Kluyveromyces lactis: one gene and its partner. The protein of the gene in region 1 interacts with the protein of each later gene in a pairwise test. Links are inferred from orthologs where the notes say so. Each region holds a gene or a part of one and is shown on either strand. Other genes may lie near its edges.

Region 1 (17,155 bases):
CCACTTAGCGCATACCGAAAGAAGCCATTCAATATCATCATTTGTAGTATATGGAAAGTGTGGTAATAGTTCTGCTAAGATTGCTCTTTTAGAAGAGTCACCTGAATCTGAAGATAAAGAAATTAATCCCACTGAAACTGGCCACAGCGTTTTATCATCATACGAGCATAAAGAAAGAGCAACTTGGCGAATTAAAAATTCTCCAATGGTTGGTTCATTTTCAAATGCAAGTTCTGAGTTCAATCCACTTTTATGAGCAAAAATTTCGTAGAAGTCAGTTTTTATAATTCCTTTAGCTTCGCACAATACCGCTACAAAAGCAGCAGTTGCAAGGTCTAAGGATTCAAGAATCGGTAACACATCAGCAACTTTGTCATTGATAATGTGATAACACGGCGTTTCCCAGTTATTGCAAACATCGATGGCATTATGTTTAGTAGCTAATTGTCCATATTCTTGACTCAATTCCAAAGTTGGTATATAGTACAACATCAATCCACAGTACGATTCGTACCAATACTGTGAGAATTCACAGATTTTATTTTTAGAACCACTTAAAATCATGAAGATGTTCATCAAATTCTTCTTGATTTCAGGTTCAACCTCTTGTTCATCCCAATTTGTCATTAATTGGAGTACGCTATTCTTCCATTCACGGAATAAATTTTCAGAATGAAGTGGGTAACTCTCAATGATTGTAATCAAATCAGTGACAAATACTCCCACTGTTTCATTTCCATGTTCCAGCAGTTGAGAATTTTGAATGCATTGGATACTCTGAGACCATAAGCCTCTCAAAAGAAGCTGTGCCGTTAGGTCCCAAAAATCAGATTGTTCATAGACTTTTCTTCGCGTCAGAAGGGTTTCATCAAAGATCTTTTGAATAACCAGCTCACTTGGTTCACCATCTGATCTGTTCACCCAATTGATCAAAGACTCTAGAAGGTCCTCTTGTTTGTATTCCGGAGAGTCAGTTAAAAAGTAAATTGTCTTCAAGCAATTTAGTATGCTCAAACATTCCTCAAGATCTCCAATTCGTTGCAGCTTATTCGTGTATTTGATGGATTCAATGTAGAACTCTAGTTCTGTAACCAAGGCATGAAATGCTAAATTAACTATCGAGAAGTGTTCGAGTCTTGAAGTTTGTTTTATTAGCCCTATGGTCGGTACATCGTTCTTGCGATGTTCTCCTAATCCCTGATACAACTCAAAAAGTTTTGATACATATTGGGCAAATTCTTTAGATTCATCTAAATGTAGAAATCTTACAGGATATAGTTTATTATCTTTCGTAGAGTTATCAAAAGCAAGGCTTCGGGACGAAACGTTGTTGTATTTGAAGCGTAATTCTTTGGCCGAGGGTTGCTCAATAGGGAAGTTCACCATTGGTGCATTGCTGACAGGGTCAACATTGATTGTTAGATTAATATCATCATCACTTTCATTGCTGATACCTTCTTCGTCCAAAAAGTCTAGGTTATCGACATCCATTAATAGGTCCTGTGTGTCGGCGAATTCATCGTTAGCCATTGTTACTGCTATGATTCTTTGGTGAAAACACGCGATTAAACCGCAAATTTCAGTTTAACTCAAGGTTTCAAAAAAGAAAATTATATTAACAGTCAGTACAAATCCCAATCCAGCGATTGAACGTAACTCCTTTAATGATTTGGAGCGTAATTGGTCTCTATATTCTCATTTTCTCTCAATGTTTACTGATTGCAATATTCAAAATATATCCTAAAAGTGATATATACGAATCTCTTAGAAAAATTTGATGCTTGTTACACCCGTACACCACATATGAAATTCCATCTATCCTTCTTGAACTTCCAACATTTATCTACTGAACCAGCGAGTATAGCTATGGGTTGCCCCTCTAAATGATAAATTTATATGCCGGTAGATCAGCATGTGCCAAAAAGCGCATCAGAGATCTCCAAGTGCTCCTTAAATCATCTTTCTTTATACTTTTTCTTCCGTAATGAACTGCGTATAATTTCTTATTGTCAAATTTTACTGAACATCAATTTTCAAACATTAAAAGTAGCGATGAGATGAGATGAGATGAGATGAGGTAAAACGAGATCACCTAGCAGATTACATATCGATATAGCAGCTCTGAACGACGTTCGTAAGGGTGAGAAAATCAAAATGTCCTTTCCCAATACTGCAGAAGGTATCACTCGGTATCTCAGATCGAAGAACGTCACTACACAAGAGATTTATGACATTTCGGTTTCCGTACTAGATGGGAAATACGATATATACTTTCCAAATGGCCATATCTTTATATTAGAATTGATCATTGACAGATGGAATGATGCTAAACAGGCACAGTTCAGAAAGGACACCAACATTTGGAAGTTATGGAAACAGCTATGGGTTATGGTTTCGTCTGAGAATCATAAGAAAAAATTATTGAGGAATCTAAGATCAGTAAATTTAATTCAACTAACATTTGAAGAGATGCAGGACGGTGACCATGAGCTTTGTGAGCATGTATATGAGGTACTGAAATCTGTTAATTCTTGTATGATTACCGCAGTCTCTCCGGAAGCAGGTCTTAAGCTTTTAGGTAGAGTCATAGATATCGTACTTTCCTGTGACTTTGGTCGTGAGAACTTCCTGAAGCAAGCAATAATTTCAGAAATTTTGACATTTACTGATTTGAACAACTTTACGGAAGTATCTAATAAAGTTTCTGGTGTGTACTGCTCTGAACTGTTGCTACCGAGTTTGAAATACTTCAAGCAGGCTGACGAAGAGGTGTTTGACAACATCTTTGACGTATTATCTGAGTTTACAAAAAGGTATTTATTTGAATTCACAAGGGATTTGCCTGCAGCGTTGAAAACTTTTGTAGGTTTGCATAAAAGTTCCCTCTCCCCAGATTTATTGGTTTTGCTTTTCACAAAGTGCATTACAACAGGTAAATGCGATGCCGCTACTCTGGAAACCATTTTAAAAATGTTGTTAGATATTGATGTCACAATATGCGCAGATTTGTTGGCTACACTCAATGCCTACAGAAAGATTATTTCACAGACGTTTTTAGAGTCATTATTCACTTCCGTATTTGAGTCCAGAGATTGGAAAATAATTAAGAGCATTATCGAAATGGACATTGAAATTGGTATCTTGAAGACGGAAGAATTAATGAATGCTATGGACGCTTCGACCACTAATTTTGAGCTAGAAATTTGGACTTCAATTATCAATTGTCATGTCAATGCCAGAGAATTTACAAATCTTTTGACTATCTGGAGAGAATATTGTAGGAAAAACACCACTTCATTATTCTTGACTGATTCGAAAATGACTAAGGTCCTTTCCGATAATGTTCCTGCATTATCTGTAACACAGACTCGTGCAATCATTACAGATTTAGTAGATGTTATTGCTTCTGAGAATGATATTTTTTCAGTGAATATTTTACAAGTTATAGTTTCTGGATTGAAAATGCTCTCTTATGCGCAGTGCTTGGAATTTCGGATTTATCTTTCAAAACTTTTTGAAATAGAGGGTTTTAATGCTCCAGTATTTTGGCAACTCAAATATCACGTTCTTGAACTATATGATGATCTTCCTATCGCTGTGAAGTTCAATCCTGACGACGCATCAGGTCTCATCAATCTTGGAAAAAAATACCATAGTAGTGAACTATTTTTCGCCTTATTCAAGTTCTACGAGCTCCAGCCATTTGAAAATTTACCTGTTATTGAAGCTTTTATGAATTTTATTGGTAATCTGGACTCAGCAGAGTTATCAAATATTCTACAGACCCTTTTAACGCGTTGGTCAACTCTCGTCGATTCATCATTCGGAAATAAGAACATATCACACCTGATCGAAAAACTACTTCAAAATCACATCGATATTTTGCCTGTGCTATTCGCTGAAGAGGATTTTTTTGAAGAGTCTAACATTGTTCGTTCGATAGTGGTTCACTTGACAGCCGATGTTAATTCTAACCTTCATCTGAAGTATTTATTGGAAATTCCAATTCAATGTTTGAATAAGGCTGTAAGATTGGCAATCCTAGACCAAATAATAGAGAAGGATGTTTTGAAAGAGGATGACATAAATGTTCTTTGTCATGTTTTGAAAAACCCTACCTCGAGGAGCAAAATAGAAACCGATTATAAAACAATGCTCACGTTTGTCGGCAATTCATTCTTCAAATATAGCTTGGAAAATCCGGTTATTGCAGCCGTTTGGCAGAGTGCACTGCTTCAAAGAAACGACAACAAAGCATCTTCATCCATGGATTCTCTATTACAAAGCATTCAGGCAAATTTGAATCATACCTTTGATTATAACACTTATGCCTTGTTGCATCTGGTACTCAAAACATGCGATGAATCAGGGTTGCATTTAGATGCTCTTAAGGTTAAGTTCATCAATAGTTTGATTTACAATATTCAGCATTTCAACGGAGATTTCAAATTACTTGCATGGCTGCTCAAGGTTTTGTTCATTCAAGCAAGTAACTCTAAAACAACAATTCCTGTTCCACCGTTATTTTCGAAGGCATCCGCCATTCCTTCTGACATTGAAGTTCAATCGGCATATTTTATGGTATCAACACTAAATTACAATGATAATATTGAATATCTTCTAGCGCAGTATCTTATCTTAAGAGAAAATGGAGTGTCTAAAGAGATGTTATTACAGGCAATAAAATTGAACATATCCAAGAGAATTATTAATAACGATGAAGACTTCAATACAGCATTCGAAACGATCTGCAATACTATGCCTGTACTATCAACAAGCAACTCCGGAGCAGTATTGGAGCTGCTACAGTTATTCATCCACTTTGTTTCAAAACAGAATAGTAGTGGAAGGCATATTTTTGTCAAATCAATTTCACACCTTTTAACAAACTACTCTACTAGCATTATAGACAGAAAAGATATTATATCTTTCATTACCTTTCTGAATGATCTGCTGGTGGCCAAACCGTTTTTATTCACACAGTACTGTTCAGAAATGCTTTTCCCACTAACATCCAAGATTCTTTTGGATAACATAATCAAAGCAGCTGATACACCCGATCAGAGAGAGATCAAAAATAAGATTCCATACTCTAAAAATGACCTGATTTTTTCCTGCACACATATGCTCTCTTCATTGCTATTATTTCATCGTTATAAGTTATCCAATCGTACTCATTTGATCAACATTGTTATCTGCCAATTACTGGAGTTACTATCAGATGCTAAGCAATACGCTCTATCGGTTGAATCAGCGAAAGCAGTATCAAGATTCATATGTAACTATTGTGAGCCTGCAAATGTGAGAAGCAGTAAGCAGACGACATTGTCCTCGGCTGTTTCTAATGTTAAAAGATCGCTAAGAAAGAATCTGCCAGTTGTTCTTCTACAATTCATCAAATTATCAGTTTCAAAACCATATCCCACCACGATAAAGAAAGAGTTGATGCTCGCAGTATACGCTATTTTTGATCTTCTGTCGCAGACTGAAATGAACTTGCTTAATGCTAGCTTGGACAGTAACGGCAGATCATATTTCAAGACATTACATGCGGACTACAAGAAAAGTGGCAAATGGCATGATGATTGAAAAGTGGCAAATGGCATGATGATTGAAAAGTCCTAATCATTTTATAAAGTTATGTTCTTCTACATTTATCTATATACCATTCAATTAGTCGTATTGCCTTCCTATCAATTCTATCATCAAACGCATATAGAGGACCAAAGTATTCTTTATGTTTAATTCTCATGAAATGCAAGACATCTTTCTTAGTGACTAATCCGGCCATGGTTCCGCCATTCTCTACTATAATAGTTGAGCAGCCCAATTTCTGGAACATCATGAAAAGTATACTCAACGGAGTAGACGGACTAACAGTAATCGGGGTATAATTGATTTTTGATGTTAACGATTCATCTCCACATTTTCTGAAATCAATGATATCGTCGGGAGATCCAGTAGTGGCATCTAAGAAATAGCGAGCGTACTTTGTTAATATAAAGCCAGAGCATGTCGAATCACCTTTGGAACAGCTGCTGGTGATCGGAAGACCGCTAAATTCGGCTGCTGGTCCATCTATCAAATTTTGCAGATCTTGACGAGTCATTTTTTCATTCACGTAGACTAGTTCTTTCGTCATGATGTCATCTGCATAAAAGTCATCCATGAATTCGTGATCCCCTTTCTGCTCTTCCATCAATGGGAATCCATTAACTATAATCATTTGGTCAGCAATTCCTCCCTCGGCACCAAAGGAGGAACAGATAATTCTAGTGAAAGCAACAACTACCATGGTAGGAAGAATATACGTAAATGCACCCGTGACCTCAAACATGATCACCACCACTGTTAGAGTTAGATTTGTTATACCACTTAATGCTGCAGTTGCACCAAGGAAAGCATAAGTTCCCGGTGTAATGACATTTGGTCCAGTAATATAACGCTCTACTATTAAACTTACAGCCCTTCCAAAAGTTGCACCAACAGCCATTGAGGGAACAAAAATTCCGGCAGGTACTCTACAGCCGTACGAAGCAACGATTAGCAGGGCTCGCACTACAGTTGCAAAGAGTAACGAAAGCAATAAATTGATGAACGAGATGAATGAGGCCTCGTTGTCAATTGTACAAAGTCTATGCGACCATAATGATCCTTTCTCATTAGTTTGACACTCATGAAATAAAATTTCCATAGATTCTGTCATGTCAAGTTTCAAGAACTCGTTGAAATAAGAGATAATGGCAGTAACAAACGTTAGTATGACAACTTCCTGTAACGGCCATCTTGAGAGATATTTCTTTCTAAAAGAAACGTAATGCACATTCCATCTGCTTATGTATTTGCCATATAAACCACCAAAAATTCCAAGAAGGATGAATATTGGGATTTCTTCCACATGCCATTCTCTATCATAGGTGACTTCAAAAACAACGATCTTACCATTTCTAGATGGATCAATATATTGTAGAGCAGAAATACCTGCCAGAGCAATATAATACGACTTCCACAAGGCAGATAACTTGAAAGGAATAGAAGCTGACATCTCTTCAAGTGCAAATAAGACACCTCCAATAGGTGCACCAAAAGCTACTGCAACACCACCTGCCGTCGAAGCTGTCAAGTATTCGGATTGTTCTGGGAAGGCCATCTCCTTGCTCAAGAGCCAATTAGTAATTACATAACCACAACAGGTAGCATAGTGAACAGATGGTCCCTCTTTACCAACACTTAAATCAGAAGAAATGGCAAGCGGTAAAGCGACAGATTTTACTATAAGGGTCTTCAAATTCAAAAACTCCGGGGTATATTGGAAACCTGATACCCAGGATTTAATTTCTGAAATACCAGATCCAGTGGCAAACGGTGCAATGTGTAGGACCATCAGACAACTAATAGTTGCAAATGTGACCGATAAGAACATGAATAGCAAAAATGAAAAGATTGGATTGGTTGCTTCTACCCAAATACCTTTTTCGATACATTCGCTTTGGGATCTTTTAAAGAATATTTCTGCGGCATTGCCAGCCGAACTTATTATGGAACCATAACTCCTTTTACTGATCTCTTCTTTAGGACAGCAGAATGCCTTGTTTAACAACCAATTTCTAGCACAATGTCCAGATTTCCAGTTTACTAACAATTCAGTGAATATTTGTAAAAAACCAGCAATACCGCCAATGGAAAGCCCAATGGCAGTCAAAGTAATGAAACTGCTACCTCTTTTCCATATTAACCTGCGGTACTCATACCAACTCGAACGCGGTATATCAAATTCGTCATGCGATGTTCCCTTGGACAATTCACGCTTCTCTTCCTCAATCCAATCCACAGAAGTGAACTTATCGAAATTACCGACTTCTGGTATATTTCGCAGAGCCTGCTCCTCATTTACCTCTTGGTCAGTCATAGCTAGCTATTGCTCATCAATTGGGTCATACCTAAGTCAAGGGCAATACTATGAGTTTATTCATAAATGAGTTGATAAATTTACATATTGTAATACGTACATTTTTCAATACAAAGAAATATGCACCTTTGAAATTAGGTAAAGAACTGAGAGTGAAAGCAGCTCTTCCTGGGGAAGTATGAAGCATACGATGGGGAACAACAACTACAGACTGCGTGTTTTAGACCATAATAGAGTACTATAGCAATGGCGGAGAATGGCCAAATGATCACAATAGGAGGAATGTATATCGTTCTTCTGAATTAATATAGTGAAACAGCCGTACATTACACCAGTTTGTGATCCCATTTGTTTCTTTTTGCTCATCAGTCGAGGAATTCGAAAATTTTCAAAAATTGAAAAACTAAAGAAAATGATTTCAAGAGACTAACCTCATCTCATCTCGTTCCATCTCATCTCACTTTATGATAAAACTTTTTTTAGACTTGGACTTGATCCGATCTTATTTCTAGTCTTAAAACACCAGATTCAAGCGAGCTTTTCATTCTTGCAAGGAACTTGAACTGACCCAATCGGATACTTCACTTCATATTATAAAGAAATAATGTCTGCTCCAAACCCAAAGGCTTTCCCATTGGCTGATGCCACCTTGTCCCAACAAATCTTGGATGTTGTTCAACAAGCTTCCAACATGAGACAATTGAAGAAGGGTGCTAACGAAGCTACCAAGACTTTGAACCGTGGTATTTCCGAATTCATTATCATGGCTGCTGACTGTGAACCTATTGAAATCTTGTTGCACTTGCCATTGTTGTGTGAAGATAAGAACGTTCCATACGTCTTTGTTCCATCCAGAACTGCTTTGGGTAGAGCTTGTGGTGTTTCCAGACCAGTTATTGCTGCTTCTATTACCACTAACGATGCTTCTGCTATCAAAAGCCAAATCTATGCCGTTAAGGACAAGATTGAAACTTTGTTGATTTAAGAAGGATTTGCACATTTCGTGATTTCCTTTTCTTATTCTTTATATCAATCGTTTAAGGAGTTAACCGCTTTGTGGGGGGTTTGCATAGCAAAGAAAAGATTTACTGCACGTTCATTGATTCAAGTGATCGACAGGTAGATTTTTTTTTTACGACCTCTGTATATTAAACATATATATTACAATTAATACAACTTTTTGATACATTTGCATCCTTCTTAACAATGACATCAACATCTGATGGTTCTAGTTAGTGGTCAGTACATAGTTTTTTTTTGTCTGTTCAAATTAAGAAATGGTTACAGGCCTGTGTATTCCAGATGATATTGTCAGTTGGTAAAAAAAAGTAATAAATTTGACACAATCTTTTGTGCTTTCGACTATCCAACCCTAAATTTACAAGTTTGTTGAAATGAACTTAGAGGAAGAAGTCTGACTGTCCATCAGTAGCTGCTCGAATATGTTCAAGTTTAACCCATTACACATTGTTGGTAGGGAAAAGATAAAAATCCGCTATCAAAGTTCGGATAGGTTGGATTGTGAAGACCCGCCAAAATTTAGGGAAACTCGATGTAGATGTTGCGGAACCTTGTTACGACATCCTATAGACGCAGTTAAGTTCAAATGTACAATATGTGAGGTGACTGTTGTTTTGAGACAAACAGCAAATTCTAGGGATACTGAGGGCAAGATACTGCCGGACCTTGAACAGTTATCCAATATAGTTGGTCAATGTCTCGAATCGTATAAGAAAGATCAGACAGGAGATGAGACCCCCGCTAAAGAGCTTAACAGCTACTTCATTCCTGTGGAAAAATACATTGTTCAAAAATTCGGTACAGCGGAAGCTTTGAATCAATTATTCAAACCAACTGTTAAAGATCAAATTATAAACTACGAAAAAGCAGTGACATTTTATAATTTGATAGGCTCATTGCCTACCAAAAGACCCATTTATCTCATTTTACGTGTCTTTAATGAGGTTTTGAAAAGGCCAAAGATCCTAATGGATAAATGGGAGCACTATTTATTCATTTTTTTCATCTTGGAGGTACCTTCTTTAAGGCAATGTATTAACAACAGTACTACAATTTCTAGAACACCCAAGATTAAGACTTTAAGTTACGAAATATTAAAAAGATGTATTGGTTACTTGGGGTCAATGAATAGTAAAGTTTCGGTGAAATATAAGAATCACTTAGTTCGTTTACATCCATTGAAATTTCAAAAGCAATGGGAAATTTTAAACTTGTATTTGAGTTATCAGTTCCAGAAAATAGGACCCGGTCCGCCGCATTCACCACGAGGATTATCAGGAACGTTGTTAACTGAATCATCGCCTGTGGATGAAACCAAAGATGGAACTGTATCTTATCTTTTCCACCCCGGAAGGCAAAAGATACCGTTAGAGAGCAGGTTCAGAATTGAAAAATACGGACTTGACTGGCATATTCGCACGGTGTGTCAGCTAATGAACATATACTTTCAAGCTCATTGTGAACAGCCAAAATGTGACATCTCGGTTTTTTACAATATGATAATTGATTTCATTGATTACAAACGTGATTTTATGATGTGGCATAAGATGAATAGAGAGCAATGGAGGACCCTTGACGATTTATCCATGACACAGTTACATGAAACGCACTATACTGCCTTATGCCAGTACCCTTTTTTGATGTCCTTAGGCGTTAAGATAGCCATAATGGAGTTCGAAACTGGGAAAATGATGGAACATAACGCTGAGCAAGCGTTCTTAAAGGCGTTGGACTCTCGTAAACTTTACGATGTACATTTCCGAATAAAGGTAAGACGAAGCCATGTGACACAGGATTCGCTAACGTCCATTCAACGACATCCACATGATTTGAAAAAATCCCTAAGAGTGGAGTTCTCGAATGAGCCTGGAATCGATGCTGGCGGTTTAAAGAAAGAATGGTTCCTTTTATTGACTAGGGAATTGTTTCATCCAAACCATGGACTATTTCAATACGTGGAAGAAAGCCGATTATCTTGGTTTGCATATGGGAACACCGGTCTTAAGCTTCATGGAGAGAACAACAATGAACTATACTATTTGTTTGGAGTAGTGTTAGGTCTTGCAATATATAACAGTACTATATTGGACTTACATTTTGCGAGGGCCATGTACAAGAAACTATGCAATGAGCGGATCACTTTTGAAGATTATGAGGAGTTGTACCCTGAGACAGCAAGAAATTTAAAGAAAATGTTGAGTTATTCGGAACTAGATTTTAGTGATATATTTGGATTGTCGTTTGAGACCACGTATTACGATGTAGCCAGTGGTATCAACGTCACGAAACCGTTATGTGACGGAGGAGAATCAATCCCAGTAACCTCGGAGAATAAGACAGAGTTTGTTGAAAGGTGGGTAAATTTTTATATGAATGAGGGGGTCTCATCGAGTTTTAGTGCATTCCAATCCGGGTTTACAAGAGTCATCGGGGATGGTTTGGCTTTCCCGATGTTCAAAAGTTGTGAAGTAGAAAGGCTCATCTGTGGCAGCATAGAACAAGACATGGATTTCGAACAACTTCGCGCTGTGACGAAATACCAAGGCGGATTCCATAACCAAACCCCGGTAGTGGAATGGCTATGGGAAATACTACCACAATTATCCCATGAACAGCAACGTCAATTTCTCCATTTCGTGACTGGGAGTGACAGAGTTCCAGTGACGGGACTTGCGACGCTTCCGTTCAAGGTAACCCGCACAACGTCCGGATCACATGATCAGTTGCCCACTGCCCATACCTGTTTCAACGAACTCTGCTTGTACGAATATGAGTCACGTGATACTCTTCTTCTGCGATTGGTGACTGCCCTCGAAATGTATGAGGGTTATGGGTTTAAATAATGTCAGCAACAAACATACATTAATATAATCACTACAAACGAACCAATCATATCGTGAACCAGGCTTTACAGAAAAACCTGCTTCCCTTGAATAACCAGAAAACACAAGGAAATGGACACTTACAGCTACTATGTGAAAGCCGTTAAATGCGAAGCGTTTTACTGACACTAGGCCCAAAGGCCCTAGTGTCAGTTATCATTTCCACCAAGAAAATCTTCCTATACTTGACCATTTACGCAAATAAAATTGTATACTTGTAAATTGGAAAATAATAACCACACCAGGAAGTTCTGCCTCGTCCCAGCTCATTTACACTGTCCATTCCTGTCTGGTCGAATTATATCTTGTTTAATCCTTTAGCGCTTCTTACTATTGGCTTTTTTCCCAATCTGAAATTTTTCTTTGTTTTTTTTTTTTTTGCTTCCTTCCGCACTTATTAAGCTGCAATGGCTTCTGTTTAATATGGATAGAGATAATTTGATAATTTCTCTGAATAAAATAAAATAGAAAAAGATTTAGTACAATCATTTTATTATTACTTTCAGTTCCAACAACATTTTTGCATTGATATATATATTTTATAATCTGGCTTGGTGATTCATATCTGTGTATATATTTATTGATACTCCGAGAGTGCTTTGCTGTTGTGATTAAAGTCGATATCATAGAAACGATTTCTCCGAAATAAGAACGGGAAATTAGTACGAATAATACACTCTAGCGATATATCCATAACTAACTAATATCAAAAATGTTGGGTTTAAGAAACGGTTTGAAGACTGGTTTGAAGTCTGTTGCTCCAGCCAGATTAATTTCTACTTCTGCAGTTGCTGCCAAGTCTACTTACAGAACTCCAGATTTCGGAGACTATATCAAGGAGAATAACGATGCTGACAAAGGTCGTTCTTATGCTTACTTTATGGTTGGTTCTTTAGGTTTGTTGTCCTCTGCCGGTGCCAAATCCACCGTTGAAACTTTCATCGCTTCTATGTCTGCATCTGCAGATGTTTTGGCTATGGCTAAGGTCGAAGTCAACTTGGCTGCTATTCCAGAAGGTAAAAATGTCGTTGTGAAATGGCAAGGTAAGCCAGTTTTCATCAGACACAGAACCGACCATGAGATTCAAGAAGCTAACAGTGTTGATATGTCAGCTTTGAAGGATCCTCAAACTGATTCTGACAGAGTTCAAAAGCCAGAATGGTTAGTCATGTTGGGTATCTGTACTCATTTGGGTTGTGTTCCTATCGGTGAATCTGGTGATTTCGGTGGTTGGTTCTGTCCATGTCACGGTTCCCATTACGATATCTCCGGTAGAATCAGAAAGGGTCCAGCTCCATTGAACTTGGAAATCCCTCAATATGAATTCGATGGTGAAAACTTGATTGTCGGTTAAGCGCAGAAGGAAAGCTAAAAAAAGATTATATTATGTTGATAAATTGTTGAAATAGGCTACCTTTTTTTGCTATTTCTCAAATTTAACTCTCTTCCTTTTTCTCTTTCTCTTTGTCCTTCTCACTCCAGCTTTCACTAATAAAATTCTTTATTCCCATGTTGATGTCTCCTACTCCCCCCATGTATTTTCCAAGTAGGATTCACAACCAAGGTCAATATCTTTTATGCTAAAGTTTGTCATATTGGAATCGTGTAAGCTCGTTTTTTCACGTTCCATCATCACTACCCGATTTATTATTATTTATTCATACAAACATTTTTGAAACCACAACTACCCGTGCCCCCATAGCTCAAGCAAACTAAAAGGATAGCAAGCATGAAATGCTTTTGAAGCATTGTTCAATTGTATGTCATCACTTTTCCTTTTAACTGCACTGAGAAACAATCGCATTAATACCTGAATGACCACATCAGGCTACTACCGTGATTGAAACCCTTTTATTATATTCCAAAATCTTTGAAATAGTCCTGCTCTACCCGATGCATGGTTATACCTACAATCTGAATCGCTTAATGTTGTATCGCCTTCTTTTCCATAAAAGGTCAGACACGTATTTAAAGAAAAGCGGGAGTATTGGATTAATCTGTCAATAGTAACTTTAACCTTTGATTTCCCTTTTTCAACGAGATTTAGGCCTAGGAACAATGCATTGGTATTGCAATGGGATGTCATTATTTCGCTTTTAATTTGCCTATTTTCCCGCTAATCACGAGAAAAATAAATTCAATTAATCAATCCTATACTCTTAAGATGTCTCAAAAACTGTTAACCCAAACCATAAAAACCTAAAAAAATCTCTTCCAACCAAAATATTTTACCATAAGAATAGAGAAATTGACGAACAATTAATTTAAATTGAGATTACCTTTCTCTCTAGGGATTCAAATTTTTTATCATATTAAGGTTTGTTTCCTGTTATTTATATACTCTGTTAACGATGCCAAGATTATATATTATATGTATATGTATATTCCCCACATACTCTTTTAAAAGAAATGAACAAATTTAATCCATTTGAACGCCGAAAATTGGGAACCCTTGAAAAATCCAGTGCTGTTTGTAGACTAAAGTTCTGGGTTAGCTTCTAACAAGCTTTCAAGATCATCTGGAATTCGCTGCCAATTTTCTCGATCCCATTCGGTTAGCATATCACACATCTCTTTTCTTATTTTGTTGATATCCCTTTTCTGACAATTGCACCCGTCATTGACACTATCAGGAGGCAGCAATGGTTCTGAATCAAGTCCAGGGTATGATATCAAAGATGAAGTCAACGAAGATCTGACCATAACTTTCTTCTTCGTTTCACCGTTCTTCCTCTTTGGAAGGGATATCTTTTCATGCTGCTCAATTAAATCTACGCAATAATCTGGCAAATTCTTCGGTTTGTAATCGTTGACAAGCTTTATCCTCCAGTAAACTGACCAATGAAGTTCGCCATATTCAGGTATATTCCGTCTTCTACCAAAATTTGGCACGTAAACGTTTTTCCATTCACACTTTTCGTTTTCGATTCTTATTCCTATTGGAATCAATTCAGCAATCCACCAAAAAATCACCCTAAAGATACTCACATTTCCACTTCCATCATTTTTTTTTTGACGACCGATGTCCTTCCCTGGTTCATCAGTATCAAAACCTTGCTCAAGATCAGAACAACTAGATGGTGATTCCGTTTTCCAGTTAAACGTTCTGAAGTAAACGTTCTCTGTTTTATGACGCCACGGTAACCAACTTCTCTTTGATGGCAGTTTGAAGCCGTGGTATCTATTAATTTGATCTTCATCATATTCATTAGTCTCTTTTTTGTGAAATGGGTTTTTCATAGTAAGATTGCTCTTTTTGAAACTCAAAAGATCGTGCGATGCTGACAATAAGCTTCCAGCAGATGTATATTTGCCAGCAAATTCATGGATGATTCCTTTTTTAAAAAGTACTCCGGATTTGATCGCTTCTGAGAGAATCCATCTTAGAGACATATCACTTAAAAAATGATTTTTCTCAGTGATATCCGGTGGCCAACTCCCACCAATATCTGAGTGATCGCCTGGAAACCACTTCTCTATTAGATCCGATGATGTCCTTTTACTATCAAAAGTACCATGGGGAGAGTCCACCTCGAATATACCTTCAACTCTCTGGTTCACGAAATTATCTGTTCTTTGGGAATGTTCCAGCTCTAGGAAATTGTTGATTCGGGATATTAGTTCTTGTACGGACTTACTAGATTGTGATTGTGATGAATTAGGTCTTGAGCCAATGGTATGATTTATAAATTGGTTACTGGTACTGTGATAGTTTGTTTTCGGGGCAACATTCTCATATTCTATGACATAATTTCTATAGTTCAACGAAAATAAATTTGGTCTATAAGGATTAGGGGAAAACGACTGTTGTTTGAACTTCCCTCTTCTTTCGTCAATGCTAACCGCATGTCTGATGTGACGAACGATGCCGCTCCTAGCTGTATAGGGAAAGAGCCGATCTAAAAGTATACCACAAGAATTCACCGAATCAAAGAGGCCTTGAAAATGTATTTCGATCTCAATATTTCTTGAAAACGTTTTCTTAAATTCATCCACCAAAGTAGTCGCATAACTCGGTTGTACGGGCTGTGCAGCGTATTCCCAGGCTTCATATATTTTCCAAGCCATCCATATCATTTCATCTAGTCCAACGTTTAGAAGTCCAACCATTTCCAGCATTCCAGCTAGTACCCTTGCTATGAACGCACCTCTGCTGAACCCGAACATAAATATTTTGTCTCCGGGTTCGTAGTGGTGCATTAAATACAGGTAAGCAGTCATAATATGATGATCCAAACTGTAGGCAACAGCAGAATCAATAGCCGTCTTCAATTTCTTCCAAGTAACCAAACCACCAAAACCAGCTTGTGCATCATACTCCAACGAACTACCGATGCCTGGTTGGTAATAACAAATCTGCCTTTCATAATCAGAGCCATCAAGCATCCGATAAAGCTTCAATACATTGCTGAAGGGGTTGGGGCCGAAAGTATTATCCGTTCCATCAAAACAAAGTATTATATTTTTACTGGTGGTACTCTGACCAGTGCCCAAAGAGGATGATGCCATTGAATTTCTAAGAAAAGCATAGAAGAGCTATGCTATTTTTTTTGGCACTTTTTTCGGCTTGATGTCTCGAAATACTAGGTTTATATACAGAAGCTGCTCGAGCTGGTGTATCGAGCGCCACATATTACATCCAATGCTGTATGATCTTTTGTGTCAGTGGCATCAAAAAGAAAAAAAATATCTTTCGTTACCCGCATTTGTGACAGAAATTTCACTCAATCTGAATGAGGAAGCCAGCATAGATAGAAGAGAATTCAAGGGTGCTACAAAGGTAAATGTTTAATCGGTATCTCTATTAGCTGATTTAAGTACCCAAACTTTCTTTAACTTATCAAATACTGCGACATCTTTTAAGATTTTCCGAACACGTTCTACGTCGGTTGAGTTTGTTAGCTGTAATCCGACTCTAATCACTAGATCTGCTGATTTGCTCGCAAACCCTGGTGACTGAGATAGATATTTTTCAATGGACGCTTTGAGTACCTCGGCGCTCTTCTCGTCCTTCTGTGTAGCATCTGATTGAATGTCCTCTCTTTTAATTTTCTCCCGCTCTAACGTATCCCGGTTCAATTTTCTTGCAAACTTGCTGTCATTTGTAGATAATGCAGTCCTACTCTTTCTTATTTTACCTGCCCTACCGAATTTACCAGTCCAAGTCGGAGTGCCAACATCAAACCTTTTAGTTTGTTTCCGTGAGTTTTTTAATGCATCAAGTGCAGATTTGACGTTACGAGTAGCTTCTGCCCCAATGATATCATCTCTCTCGTTAGTATCAACGCTATTTGCTGAAGAAAATAAGCTACCCATGATTCTGTCGTCTTCGGTGCTCTGCTTC
Region 2 (15,628 bases), on another chromosome or scaffold:
ATTCAAGATCAAACCCGATGGTAGGAGTTTCTTCTCGAGAGTTCCCATGAGGGGCAACCCAAACGTCGACAGGTGTATCAGACATGTATTTGCTCCGAATTGTACTGGATCAGGGCATATAGTGGTGAACTCGAAAAAGATAAAATTTCACTCAGTACCTATGGTCCTCATCACTGCATTGCAAGGCCTTAAACCTAACAGCGCTGCCAAATCGTGGAATTTCGCTGCTTTCATGTCACCTAGACGGACAATTTTATGTATGGAGTTTACAACGCCAAAAGAATACGGTGAACAAACAGTGACCATATCGTCGGACACAAACAAGATAACCTCATCACAGCGCATATATTGCGGTATACAGGATAAACATAAGCATGTGAAACATTTTGGGCTAACACTGGATCCCAAGACCGGAGTAGAGTATCCAAACATCGTAGAGATTCCGTTACCCAAAAAAGACGGTGAACTATGCCCCACGTTACTATTGGGGCCCTTAAATCTAATCAATGTGTACGATATATTACAAGAGATGCCCACGGTATTGAAAGGCATTGTGGAAAAGGTGGAAGGAATCAACCCATATCTATATCAGTTCTGTCAAAGAACCGAGGTAGATGACGAACGTGCAATATCACTTGTAGAAACAACATTTATAAGTCCATAGATCCAATTCAGATAAATTTAAAAAATGATTAACAGAGTGAATAGATGCGAGTCGTCATTAATCCCAGACATCTGATCTCCCATATCCAAGAGTCAAACGTCAAACGTCAAACGTCAAATTACGTATCTTGGCAATCTTCAAACACAGCAGAACATTACCCGGTACAACAAAAGAAATTTTTTTCCTCATTATCTTCTCAACCAATTTTCATAGGAAAACAGAGAAATAAAAAGTAAACTTAGAGCTCATCTCAAGAAATTGGGACTAGAATAAAATAGTGTGTAAAAAAAGCAGAGAATAACCTTGTTTCTGTCTTTGTCTCTGTCTTTGATCAAATCAGAGTTTCTCCTACCAACGCTGGCTGTAAAGATAGTGGAAAATTTTACGTATCTAGGTTAGAAGTGCAGTAAGATCAGGAATATTCAGGAATAGATTTCCCTGCTCTTCGGTTTTTTTTTTTTTGGTTTCATTCTACTAGTCGTTTATCTGCGAAGAGAAAGGATAAGGAATAAGGAATAAAGATTTGAATTGTGTGTGATCCCAGGACACTTACTGTTGATTAGCTAGTTATTAAAGATTGTGTTGAACTGGATAAAACGTTTTATAACCTAGAAATTTTTTTTTTCTTTTGGTTTTCTTTTTATTAAATTGTTGAGCCTATTGATTTGATCCAGGTGCATATAGAAAAGTCCACTAAAGAGTAGAATACCATTATTGCAGCTGCTAATTGCAACTGATAACACATATATATTATGTCAGGTAAAAGCCCGAGGAAGTTAACTAGTGGGAAGAAGCCTACGACTCTGAAAGCGTTACAGGATAAAATGGGAAATAAGAAGGATAAGCCTCCGCATTTAAGTTCTAGACCGAGACGTTTCAGTCTAATATATTCTAGTGATTCGTCGCTGAGTGATATACCACAGGATTCGAACAGCAGGGGCTCGAATTTGTCCAAGTTACCGTTATATAAGAATCCCAAAGCCGGAACTAAGCTAAAAGGTCGATCTTCGAATGCGATGGGTAAGAACGGAAAGCTGATATCAACGAATCAGGACTCAGCCATCACATCAGGTTCGGACAGTGCTACAGCGTCTTCAGACTACCAGTCTCTCTCGGAGGATGAAGGAGGTACAATGGCAGTAGATGATGACGATGATGATGATGATGATGATGATGATGATGATGACGATGACGATGATGACGATGATGATAGCGACAGTTCGAGTACTAGTTCAGACGATGACGTGGATTTTGTGAGACTTACTGCGGAACGTAAGAAAAACGCAATGAAACAGCTGAACGCTTTGAAGAGGGGCAAGACACCTGCAGAAACTGTCGTCAGTAACAGCAACAATAAAGGTAATAGTAAACAGGGTGGATTTCCTAATAGGGCTCAGCAGAATCGTGAAGCTTCGGATTCGAATGATGAGGACATTTCAAGCTCTGAACTATCAGATGCTCCTGAACTGTCATTCAATTTCAAAGGCGACGATGGGATCAAGTTCGGTGATGCTTCAGTAGCCTCCAAGAAGGCTGATGAAGATTTAGGTGAGGAAGTCAAGGATAAAGATGTGAAACAACCTTTAGATTCCATTAAACCAAATGTCGATAGATTGGCGGTACCGAAATTTTCAGATAGTGAGGATTCAGATTATAATATCGATCAAGAGGCATATTTCAAGACCATTGATGATGATAACGAAAATATTACCGGTATAGATAACGGCCTTGAGACTGGTGATGACGATATGGCTATTCTGGATGTTGAAGAACAGAATATGGTTAAACAGCTTGAACGTGATGATCATTCTTCTTTCGATGATTCGCAGGTGGAATCAAAGTATAGAGATGGGAAACCCAGAAATGACGACGATGATTACGAATACGACGAGGACGATGAAGATGATGCAATCATGAGTGATTTCGATATGCCCTTTTATGAAGATCCCAAGTTTTCCAATCTGTATTACTATGATGGCAGCGACCAACCCTTAACTTTAAGCACATCTTTACCGTTAGTGTTAAGCGAAGAGAAGCGTAAGAGGGAAGAGCGTAAGCAATTAAAACAGCGGGAAAGGCAGGAGAGGTTGAAAAGAAGAATGACTTCCAAGAAGTCTAAACGTGAACATTCTGCTACTCCAGATCTTGCAGAAGATGAGTACGTATTTGGGTTATTTTTCCAAAGCGATGACGAGAAACCTAAAGTTACCAATGACCTTGAATCTCCTTTGCGTAGGCTCAGTACCGTGGCAGTATCTGATAAAGAGCTTTCATCTGGAGATGAAGAGTACGAAGATATTCTATTAGATATCGCCCACCTCCCTACAGATGAAGAGGATGAAAATGGCTTGGAGCTAGACGAAGTCGAAAACTCAGATGGTGAAGATGACTTTGAAGAAGATGATGACGATATGAGTGTCACCAACGTTTTCATTGATATTGATGATCTCGATCCAGATGGCTTCTACTTTCATTACGATTCGTTATCAGATGAGGAAGCTGGAGAAGCTAAGAGCTATCCTGACACTCCAGATGACCATGTGGAAGGTGTCATCTTTGTAGATGACGAATCCACTGATGAAGATGACACTTTACCACCTCCAAATACAAGACGCAAAATTGGGACTAAGGCAAAAGAAGTCGTTAGTGCCAACGTTGTTGGTTTGAAGCCTCCGAAACTTGGAACTTGGCAGACAGATAACAAGCCCTTTAGTATCATTGATGGCCTTTCCACTAAATCTTTGTATCCTGCTATTCCGCCAGTTCAACAAATTTTAGATCCAAGAATTGAAGTCGAAGACGTTTCATCACATAATGGTATCGGATCAGGAGGCGAAAAAGAGGAACTAACCCTTAACGAATTGTTGAATATGAGTGAGCTTGAAGATGAAAACAATGAAGATGGCGCTGACTCGAATTCTAAGAATAAAGAGATTGCCACCTGGTATCACAAACCATCTGTTCCATTATCTGCTTTCAGAAATAAAGGCATCAACTTCGAACATCAAGAAGACGAATACATGCTTCCTGTGTTTTCAGCACGCAAGTTCCCAATTGGTTACGTTGGTAGTGAAAGGACTAGAAGGAAGATCGATAAGATGAAGGAATACCAAAGAAAGAAAGATGAAAAGCGACGGAAGATAAAGAAGAAAAAGAAGCTCTTGAAAATCAGAAGGGAAAGGCAAAGAATTGAAAAGCAAAAATTGCTCACTGCTCCTGAACAAGAAACTGAAACTGAACCCAACGCAGATTCTCACAACAACATTCAAACTCCCTCTAGCGTGAATTTGGCTAGTCCAAGTTCAAGTGTTTTCACCGATGCAGATGCTGGAAACACACCTAATGATTTCAACGGTCTGGTTTTACCAACGAGGAAGAATTCTGTGAAGGGATTAGGAATGGATGAAATTGATCAACTGCTGAAATCTGATGATGATTTAATACTTTCTCATCATGGAGATGAAGATGGAGATATTGATCTATTAGGCAGTGACGATGCAGATCTCCTGGTTTCTCTGACTGCCCCGATTGAAGAAATTGATTTTAACCATGAACAAATGAGCCATGTTGCCGCATGGAGAAGAAGAAACAGTATCGCCGAAGCTGCTGCTGAACATATGAGAGTAACCAAGAATGGACTTTTCAGTGAGACGGCGCTAGCTGATCTGGAGGAAATCATCGGAGGATCAACAGAACTCCCAAGTTAACCCTCATTTTCACTTCCTTTGATTTTATTTTTTATTCCTTGGTTTTACCACTGCTGCTGATGCGAAACTACTCGACTAAAGCATAACCATAAACTACAATTATCTGTATTCTACCTACTACACTTTCTTGGATATAATCTACATAGATATCATTCTGTGAAGCTCTATTCAGCTTCACCATTTTTTCCGTAAGAGGAGTGTTGTACTTCTCTCATAAATCAACAATTAACTTTAAAATCATATCCATTAGAATATTAGCAAATATTTAGCAAATATGTGTAAGTGCAAATAAACATTGTCTAAAGACCGTTCCCGGTTTTCAGCTCCTTTGTATATGTTCAATCTCTTTCTGTTTCAAGCATATGATAACCCATGCCTCATTGTCTACGTTTTTTTCTTTTTTTTGTTCAATTCGAATGTTGAAAAGTTTAATTCATCTCATCTCATCTCATCGCATCACAGAAATATGCTAGGTGAACCAATAAGATTATACCTGGCCAATTATTAGCACCCAGGACAGCACCTTGGATCTCCCACTCGCACAATGGATTTGAGAACTACCTATGCATCCACGAAACTAGAGCCGTTTTATGCTGGTACTGGTGCTATAGCATCTGTTTCTGAAGATGGACGATTATTAGCGACTTCGGTCGTCGATAAAATCAACATTGTTAGCTTAGATAGCCCACGCCGAGTGTTGCATTCTGTTGATACTGAGGATGAACAAGACATCACCGCATTGCATTTAACTCCAGATGGTTCTTATTTGTGTTTTGTCTCACAAGCGCAGTTGCTCAGAGTGTATTCTTTGAAACAAGAAAGAATTATCAGATCAATGAAGATTTCGTCACCGGTGTACGTCATGAATTGCGATCAAACATCTACACTTTTGGCTATAGGTGGTACTGATGGTAGTGTTAGTGTTATTGATATTGAAAATGGATATGTCACGCACTCTTTGAAAGGACATGGTGCTACCATTTCAAGTGTAAAGTTTCACGGTGAGTTGAACAGTGAAATTTGGAAGCTTGCATCTGGTGATACCAACGGTATGATTAAAGTCTGGGATTTAGTTAAACGTAATTGTCAATGCACTATTCAGGAACATACTACAGCTGTTAGAGGGCTAGATTTCCGTGTCACTGATGAAGAAAAGGGAACGCTGCAGTTATTATCTGGTGGTAGAGACAATATCTTAAATCTCTTCGAGTTTAATTCGACGAAAAAGTATAAGCTACTGAAGACCATCCCTGTCATAGAACAGGTGGAATCGTGTGGATTTACGCAGGACCCGGATGTGGTTTACTCAGCCGGTGGTGGTGCCATTTACCAATTAGTGTCCTTGTCAACAGGAAGAGTATTAAAGAAAACAGCAAAACCTATTGAAGAGCTATTTATTATTGGTACACTATGTATCCTGAACGGAACTAAGCAGTACTTGGTATTTTCAGATCAAACTTTGTTCCTAATAGATGTTGAATCAGCTTTACAATCGGAATCTGAAGTAATTGAAGTGGAAAATAAGATTGCAGGTAATCATGGTACCATTGCAGATATAAGATTCGTTGGTCCAAAACGGGATAAATTAGCATTAGCTACTAACTCTCCTACTCTTAGAATAATTCCAACCCCAACTTCTTCGGAGGAAGAGTTCGAAAATGGGGAGAACAAAGAAACATTTCCTATTGAAGTAAAGATGTACGAGGGTCATACGGATCTACTCAACTCTTTGGATGCCACCGCTGATGGTCTCTGGGTTGCTACAGCATCCAAGGATCACAGCGTTATATTATGGAGATATCATGCAAAGTACGAAGACTTTTATCCATACACTAAATTTGTCGGTCATGTAGGTTCTGTGAATGCTGTTGGACTTCCTAATGTTATGCCACGTTCATGGCCTGAATTCATAATTACAGCTTCTAACGATTTGACCATAAAGAAATGGAAGGTTCCTAAGGTGACATCTGATGAACCCGAAGATCTAATACTTGTTAAGACCTCAGAATATACCAGAAGGGCGCATGAAAAGGATATCAATGCTATCTCCATTTCACCTAATGATTCTCTATTTGCCACGGCTTCATACGATAAGACATGTAAAATATGGAATTTGGATGATGGTGAATTCCAAGCCACATTAGCAAACCACAAACGTGGTCTATGGGACGTTGCATTCTGTCAATATGACAAGTTATTGGCCACATGTTCCGGTGACAAGACCATCAAAATTTGGTCCTTAGAATCATATGCCGTCGTAAAAACTTTGGAAGGACATACCAATGCAGTTCAAAGATGTTCCTTCATAAACAAGAACAAGCAACTGATAAGTACTGGTGCTGATGGTTTAGTTATTATTTGGGATCTATCAACTGGTGAATCGGTCAAGACACTAGATGCTCACAATAACCGTATCTGGGCTCTTGCTGTTATGAACGATGGTGAATCCTTCGTTACAGCAGATGCTGACGGCTTCTTTGAGTTCTGGAGGGATAACAGTGAAGAGGAACACGAACGTAACCTCGAGCAAGAGAAACTGAAGATTGAACAAGAACAATCATTACAAAATTATCTCTCAGAAGGTGACTGGACTAACGCATTTTTGCTTGCCATGACCTTGGATCACCCAATGAGATTGTACAACGTCTTAAGACAAAGTGTAGACAACTCAAATGAGGATCCAAATGTAGTTTTCAACAACGAAATTGACGAGGTTGTGTCGACTCTAGATAAAGATCAACTTCTTCTTTTAGTGAAAAGGTGCAGAGATTGGAATACAAATGCAAGAACACACACAGTAGCCCAAAAGATGATAAGGTGTATTCTTCTAAGACAAAATATTGAAGAGTTGAGCGAAATTCCTGGGCTTGTAAGGATCGTTGAATCAATAATCTCATACGCAGAGAGACATTACTCAAGAATGGATAACTTGGTTCAAGAAAGTTATATCTTAGATTACGCTTTAGTTCAAATGGACAAATTGCTATAAAGAATGTAAATATAGCACTAGTCGTCATGTAGATATATACATATAACAGTACAACACACCCACCGCATCAACTCTGAATAGATACCATATCCAGTCAAGGGCCATCCATCAGTAGAATAATAAGTTTGTTACCCGGCTTTGAGTTTTAGACAGAATTTGTTTCCCTGCAAAAGAAACTTCATCAAATAACTAGACGATGTGAAGCGATGAGATGAGATGAGATGAGATCGGCTCTCATCCTTCTTCTGTTAAAAGGTGACTTCAACTGTGAATTTTTGACAGTTATACTTTAAAGTTAACTCTCCTCCATATTAACGAGAAGCTCTATCGGAAACTATCATGTCAGAGGGACATATTGCAGCTATTAGCAAGACGAACAAGAGGAAGAACAGAAGAAAGAAGAGAAGAACGCAAGACGTGTCCGACTCAAGTTCTGATTCCAGCTCCGATTCTGAAAATTCATCGGTAGAAGATAATGATACTAAGCTCGAAACTGTGGAGAAAGCTGCATCTGATGTTGAAGATGTAACGCTTTCAGATATTGACATGGATAAAGAAGAAGATGAAGCTGCATTGGACGATAAAAAAGCCAGCCGAAAAGAGGGAAGCGTCTTGTCCTCGGAGACTGTGGACAAATTAAATAAAGTGGGACTAACAACAAGCGATTTAACTGGCAACAATGGCATTCATCTAGGGAATATCGATTTGAATAAGATGTCTGCTACGTTAGATGAAAGCAGCAATAAATTGCTAGAGAATAATAAGGACAAGAACGGATTAAAGAATCAATATTTGAGTATGCTATTTGAGAGTTATGGTGATGACATGAACGAATTGAGAAACGCACCAGATTTCACTTCGAAGACCCTTGTCATGCTAGCGAATGTTCTAAAAGACGGAGGAGATATGTTTGATTTGGAGACCTTGAAGACAATAGTAGAGGATAAATAGTGTTTGGATCTATCTAGCATTTTAAAAACACATGTATAATAAAATAAAAATACAAACCATCTATCACGATACAGCTAGAATGAATCAAATAAAGTCTGGACGGCAAATTGATGATTTGGAGTAAGATATGAATACGTATTGGAATGATAAAAAAAAAAGTACGTGATACTAGGGAACGCTTAAAAGAAGAAGTAAAATAAATAAGAGATGATGAGGATGATTATGATTAATTAATTTTGTTTTATTTGTGACTCTCATTCGATGACCTTAACGAAGAACCAAGCTGCACCTGCAGCAGTCCCACCGACTGCTATCATTTGTAAGCCTTCCAGTAACTTTTTCTGCAGGGTACAATCGTTCATTGAGACTTGGGATTTGAAATATCCGAACCAGAACAACGTGAAAGTCATTAATGCAATAGAGATCAGGAGACCGGTTCCCACCGTTTCAACAAAGAAATATGGTATTAACGGGACGAACCCACCGGCAAAGTATCCTCCTCCGATCGTTAGTGCACTAATCCATTGTCTATTATCATCGGGTTCATCTAAACCTCTTCCGTATTTGATAATGAAATCCACCATAAGTTCTGGGTCTCGTTGCATATCTTTCACAAACGATATCACTGTATTTTCCGAGAATTCTGGGTTCATTTCCATTAGTATATCTTCAATTTCATGGTTTATTAGCTGAGTATTGCTATAAAATTTCCTTTTTTCTTGCGACACCTCCGATTTATAGTAATCACTTTCAGATTTAGCACCCAAATAACCACCAAGACCCATAGATATAGCACCAGAGATCAATTCCGCGAACCCACCTGTAATCACCAACTTGGAATCTCCCAACGAGGAAAGACCTGCGGTCAACGCGAAAGGAACCGTCAAACCATCACTGAGTCCGATAATCATATCGGACATAACTCTTGGATCAATCTTACCGAACAATCCAGACGTACCATCATCCTCATTGTCATAATCGTCAAACCCACCTGTATGCTTTGAGGATTCTATATCGCCATCCTGTGGTGAAGCCGAGTATCGATGACTATTCAAATTAGTGGTAGAATTCGAATTGGAATTAGAACTATCGGATGATAGTAATGGAACTTCCTGATTTTTCGCTACGAGTTTTGACACAGCGTTTTTAATTGCAACCACGGACATGTAGTTCTAGTTTCTGAATATGTTATAATATATTGTTATTCTGGTCTTATTTTTACCAAATAGTTAAAATTGTATAGCAGAGCAGTACTGCTGATAAACCAATATCTACAAATAAAACCGTTCTTGTGTTTTGTTCCCCACTTATTCCAGGTTTGTTCCCTTGGTTTCACTTCTCAAAAAATCACCTCAACTTTATTTTCTTTGAAAAACGTCTATGAGAATTCAAATAGATACTGCGAGTGCAAACAAAAACCAACCAACAGCTCAAGCAATGTGTCTGACACTTGTTCCAATATTGTTTCTCTAAAAACTAAATACAGAAAACTGCGAAGAAGTGCTTATAAAAAAGTGAATAAAACGTACAAGCTTTATATAAACTTTGTATAGTAATATATATATATTTACAATGAATTGGGAAAAAAATGAAAAAGATTACGGCTTGGCAAATAGCGCCGCTGGGGCATAGTAGTAAAAGTTTAAATTCCAAATCAATTTGAAATCCGTTATATAACGGTGAGTAGTCCCACGGTTTCCCGTGCCTTTGAAAACCTGTGTTTCTGTGTGGCTGGTAACGTCAGCATTACGCACGGCGATTTCATTGGACGGCAGAGGAAAAAAAGAAGAAAATTTAGTGTCACGTGGGGATGGGAAGCACGTGACAGAAAGTCACGTGGTTTGTCATATATGTAACAACAATACCAAGATGTCTTCGACATCTTGGTATTGCTCTAATACATTGATCAACAGATGCCCGAATGGCCTATTTGTGAAGAAAAAAAATTATATTACACACGTTATACCCAGATAAGATTTTAATTTACATATGGATCCTTTGCAGGATGATGATGATGATAATGATAATGACAACTCGCCTACCGTTTAAGCTTGAGTAGAAGAAGAGTACTTGGTAACAGCTCTGGTACCTTCAGAAACAGCGTGCTTGGCCAATTCACCTGGCAAGATCAATCTGACAGCTGTTTGGATTTCTCTAGCAGAAATAGTAGATTTCTTGTTGTAAGCAGCCAACTTGGAAGATTCAGTAGCGATTCTTTCAAAGATATCGTTAACGAAAGAGTTCAAGATGGACATAGACTTTTGGGAAATACCAGTGTCTGGATGGGTTTGCTTCAAAACCTTGTAGATGTAAGAGGAGTAAGTTTCCTTTCTAGCCTTAGTTCTCTTCTTAGATGGATCGGTAGAAGAGGAAGTCTTCTTAGCAGCTGGCTTCTTTTCAGCTGGAGCCTTGGATGCTGGGGCCTTGGATGCTTTAGCAGACATTATAGTTGTAATATTTGTTTTTAGTAATGTGATAGTACTGGTTTTCAAATAACTAGTGCTTGTCGAGGGTGAATTACAGAACCATATATATTTCTAATAGAAACGGATAATCTATAAGGAGAAAGGGTAAAAGTATCCATTTAGTCAGTCTCTTTATATACAATTTGGTTCTTCGCCATAGTAAAAGCGATTTGCCTTCCTTAAATTGTGTCTTTGGTACTTGTTTTTTTTGTTTTTCACGCTAAAAAGGCATGTCATGACCACAGCTTCGCTGTGGTAAACCGGTTTACTATGGCGGATGGAGATATTCTCCGCGCGTAACCGGTAGCACGGTCTACGAAAAAGTTTCCTTTTTCGGAAACAACCACGGGAGTCCATAGTAAAAGGGAATCCGTTGATTGTTTGAAAAAATGGTTCCTCGACATCTCAAGAGACAATATATTAACATTCCAGGAGTTTCACGGCACAGGTGAAGCTGTGAGAACAGGGGGTTTGTTTTCGCTGCCGCTTTTTCTTTTTTTACTTTTGTTGTGTGAGCGTGTGCTTTGCTCAGTGACACAGTGGCACTACCGTGCCACCGTTTCTTATATAAAGAGGTCACTTCTTGCACTTTCAGTTCCTCTTCTGTTCCTAGTTTAGCTCTTCGTATTGTTTGTTGTTCATCATCACAGATACTACTAAATCAAAAACAACACACAAATCAAACACTATAATACAATATAAAAAATGTCAGGTAAAGGTGGTAAAGCTGGTTCTGCTGCTAAGGCTTCTCAATCTAGATCTGCTAAGGCAGGTTTGACTTTCCCAGTCGGTAGAGTTCACAGATTGTTGAGAAAGGGTAACTACGCTCAAAGAATCGGTTCTGGTGCTCCAGTCTATTTGACTGCCGTTTTGGAATATTTGGCCGCTGAAATCTTGGAATTGGCCGGTAACGCTGCTAGAGACAACAAGAAGACCAGAATCATCCCAAGACATTTGCAATTGGCTATCAGAAACGATGACGAATTGAACAAATTGTTGGGTAACGTGACCATCGCTCAAGGTGGTGTCTTGCCAAACATTCACCAAAACTTGTTGCCAAAGAAATCTTCCAAGGCTAAGGCTTCTCAAGAATTATAATAAGCCTGAGCAAAGGGGGGAAAAAAAAGAATGGAATGCATACAAATTTTATTTTAATATGAAAACAAAATTCATCGGGTCTGTCACTAATATATCTTTCTTATGTTTATTCTGAGTTGGCATTGGCATCATTTTAAACACACAAATTACTTTATCAAACAAGGAGAAATGGGGGGATTCTCTGTTTCATCTCTTTGTATGGGATAGTTATTTTTTATTTGTACTATATTTTAAATATATATATAAACTACTTCATCCTACGTTATGAGGTATATCTTTAATCGTCATGAATTTCGGGTTAGATTACTTTCTTTCAATGACTTTCAATTCTGTCTGTGTTGTTGATTTTGACACATTATTGTCCTTTTCCTGTCTTTTAACATTGAATATTCCCTTGAATGTATTTTAGATTAATTTGGACAAAGTTGTTTTAGATCAAGAAGAGAGTAGAAAAGAAAAATTAATTACTATTAACGGTATAACTATTTAGTGTTGATATGAGTCTTATTAGATTTAAATAACCTTTTGAAGAACGAACCTTTCTCGTTCTTCTTCTTGCTTTTCGTCTTCTCATTGATACGTGGGGTGTTATCGATGGAGGGGGACGAGGCTGGGATCACGTGATCGGGATTGCCTGGTTCGTTTACATCGACAGGAGTAGCAGCAGTGCTAGCTGCTAGCACCGTGGTATCCTCAGTGACGACAACGGGGTTCGCCCCGGATTCGTGTCGAAGCGAAGAAGAAGAACTTGTGTTATTATTGTTATTGTGATTATTGTTATTGTGATTAATATTATGACCACTGGCATTAGTGTCAAAATTGTCAGTTGTTCCATTGGACGGAGCGACGTCCGGTGGTTGTTGAGAATATTGTTTTCCACGGTGTTGTTTTGGTGGTTGATTACCAGAGTTCTCTTGGCTGAACTGGACAACCCTATCGAGTATACTCTTGACTTTTTTCTTTGGATGTCGGCTCTTTTCATTTGTTGGAATCGCCGCAGTAGGTTGTTGCAATTGTTCGTGTTGAATTTGTTCCTCACGCGTGGGCAAGTGCAGTGTGGTCGGGAGCACATGTGGTTGCTCGACATCTGCATCTTCAAGTATCGGTGTCATTTCGTTTCTAGATCCATTGTCTGTACTATGCGAAACTGTTTTTGTAGGATGACCATATTTCTGTTGAGCAATCTCCAATGCTATAGCATACATCTCCTCTTGGCTTAGTGTCTTCTGATCAGATGTAGGAACAGTAGGGACGGCAACTGCTTCATTCCGTTTCTTACTTTTGAATATGGATTTTCTTTTCGTGGCGTTATTGTCCGGTGTAGCTTGATCCGTAGTATCCTTTTCTGGTTCAAGTTGTGCATTGGGAGTATCTCTCAAAGTCATCCTCTTGGACATTGTACTTTTCCTTCCAACTGATTTCGCTTCTGTGTTCTGAACCTGCGATATACCTTGATGTTGAACTTCTTGCTGCTGCTGCACCCCCTGTTTCTGGACCAGGGGTTTTCTTGAAGTGTATGATTTTGAATTGTTATCAACATCAACTTTATTCACTTTTGCCAGGAAATGGTCCTGATCATCTTCCGCAAATGCACCTGATTCTTCAACGACATCTGATGCGTCAGTGAAGTGCTCTTCCCCTTCCTCTTCCGAATCACTTCTGATGTTATTCGCAGCTGAGTTATTTATAGCATTCGAGTTGAAATTGGCCAATCTCTGGTTTGTCCGTGGTTGCGATTCGGATAACGGAGCAGCAGGAGGAGTGGCGGACAGCTCATCGGAGATTGGGAACTCATCATTTTCAGCAAACTGCTGGAAATGAAACTGAGGGTCTTCAACCAGCCCAGCAGTTTGCGTGGTAGTTTCCACGTATTCCATCCCGTTGATCCTTCTTATAGTCTGCGTCGTGATCGATTGCGTTCTGCCCATCATATCTTTAACCTCTTGTGTCTTGATGATAATAGATCCGTTACCACCTCCAGCAAATGAACCGGTCCTTGAACCAACCCTGGCTACTGAACCAGTCATAGAACCAGTTCTACTGCCAACACCACGACTGGAAGCTGTACCTGTTCGTGGTATGGCAGAAACAGACCTTCTATTCCCGACATTACCGGTTCGAGGAGCGTATGCTCCACGAGCAGTAAAACTGTAACTTCTAGGAATATAAGACGATTGCTGTTGCTGCTGTCCAGGATGACCCATCCGGAGACTGTTAGCTCTTGATATATTTGTATAGCCTCTTTCTGGATAATTCACCAGGGATCCAGCCCTTGCACTAGCAGCAAAGGCCGCATCTGCAGAAAGCTCGTGGCTCTTAAGGTAATTATCACCCTGATTTACAGAATTACCACCGCTACCATTGTAATGATAGTCATACCTGGATAAGTCTGGAACCCTAGTGGCTTTTCTCCTGTTTCCTAAATTCATACCAAATACCATTGTTGAGGATTTCGATGTATACTGTTCAGTATAGCACTTTGACCAGAGAAGAATAGTGATATAAGCCGAGCAGCGAAAAGGGTATAATTAAGCTTCCTCAAATTTCGCTATTTAAAGGTATATTATATATATGTCCGTATTTATATACATGCTTCTTTGTTTATATCAATGCATCCTTTATTATTATTCTGTGATTTATGTTCCATTTTTCACTTATGGAACAATCGAAATTTGCTATCTCTGCGAATTTATATCGAGAAACGGTTAGAAACGGCTGTACAAGAAAGCAAGGAAACCAGGGTGTTTGCTTCGAGACAGAAAGGAGTAGACGCAATATGGGACCTGATTCAAAATAGCAGTCTGTTGCAAAGGACATTCAGACAGGTTTACGATGGACAAGTTTACCAGGTAAGGGTACGATGTTTTGGTCCGTTCGGAATATGAACGCACACAAGATATATATGTATGTATACAGTCACGTGATTATTTATAAACCACGTGACACAGACCAAATCACATTTGGGGCTGTCATCAACGACGTACAAAGTGATGAATTCTCTCTCCAACTCACTCAGCTCAATTACGCGTGCCACTGGCCTCGAAACGTGTGATGTTCGTACTTGTATCAATGACGACCTCTCTGAGGTCGTCATACATAACTATCCAAAACTGAATTCCACTCGTAACCGCATTTCCCCCTTCTCTCTTGGATCAATGGAGTCACTTTTTTCATTCCAGCATGATAATTTCAACATCAAAATTATATAAGTATGAAAAAAAAGTTGATGATAATTTGAACGAAGAACTATATTCCATGTTTAACCTGAACTTGAAATGTTATAAGAATTTCTGACACGTTTTGTTTTCTTGCGTGATTGCTTCAATGCAAGAGTATATTAGTATATTATATATCTTGATTAAATTTTTATGAATTATTTTCTTGTACTTTAATTTCAGGTATATCCTCAACGATCAGTAGAGTCATAAAACTACAAATATAAGTAACCAGCGATGTCCCAAGATTTGTCCCATGTTCCAGAATCCATCAGAATGGTCTTGATTGGCCCACCAGGTGCTGGTAAGGGTACCCAGGCTCCTAACTTGACCGAAAGATTCTGTGCTTGTCATTTGGCTACCGGTGACATGTTAAGATCTCAAGTCGCCAAGCAAACTCCATTGGGTATTGAAGCCAAGAAGATTATGGACGATGGTAAGTTGGTCTCTGACGAAATCATGATTAACATGATTAAGGATGAGTTGACTAACAACCAAGACTGTAAGAAGGGTTTCATCTTGGACGGGTTCCCAAGAAC

The links.
Region 2: the proteins of URB2 (region 1) and RSA3 interact in binary tests that used the Saccharomyces cerevisiae proteins (3 or more experiments, as listed by UniProt). The link is inferred for Kluyveromyces lactis from reciprocal best matches to the Saccharomyces cerevisiae genes URB2 and RSA3.

Annotation. Positions count from the first base shown.
Region 1 is NC_006041.1:2,001,649-2,018,803, forward strand, and holds URB2 (ribosome biogenesis protein URB2), read left to right. Parts: upstream 1-2,154; coding exon 2,155-5,589; downstream 5,590-17,155. Other genes in the region: NUP85 (Nup85p), read right to left, coding at 1-1,530; GEF1 (Gef1p), read right to left, coding at 5,639-7,909; RNA binding protein SNU13, read left to right, coding at 8,514-8,894; putative E3 ubiquitin-protein ligase HUL4, read left to right, coding at 9,352-11,772; ubiquinol--cytochrome-c reductase catalytic subunit RIP1, read left to right, coding at 12,524-13,165; KLLA0_E22595g (uncharacterized protein), read right to left, coding at 14,290-16,320; DNA-dependent ATPase RAD26, read right to left, coding at 16,600-17,155.
Region 2 is NC_006042.1:1,219,263-1,234,890, forward strand, and holds RSA3 (Rsa3p), read left to right. Parts: upstream 1-7,699; coding exon 7,700-8,311; downstream 8,312-15,628. Other genes in the region: KLLA0_F13200g (survival factor 1 family protein), read left to right, coding at 1-664; KLLA0_F13222g (uncharacterized protein), read left to right, coding at 1,417-4,371; U3 snoRNA-associated protein UTP13, read left to right, coding at 4,916-7,360; CCC1 (Ccc1p), read right to left, coding at 8,566-9,477; HTB1 (histone H2B), read right to left, coding at 10,357-10,755; HTA1 (histone H2A), read left to right, coding at 11,482-11,874; MSC3 (Msc3p), read right to left, coding at 12,357-14,315; adenylate kinase ADK1, read left to right, coding at 15,327-15,628. UniProt on the Saccharomyces cerevisiae protein: Required for efficient biogenesis of the 60S ribosomal subunit.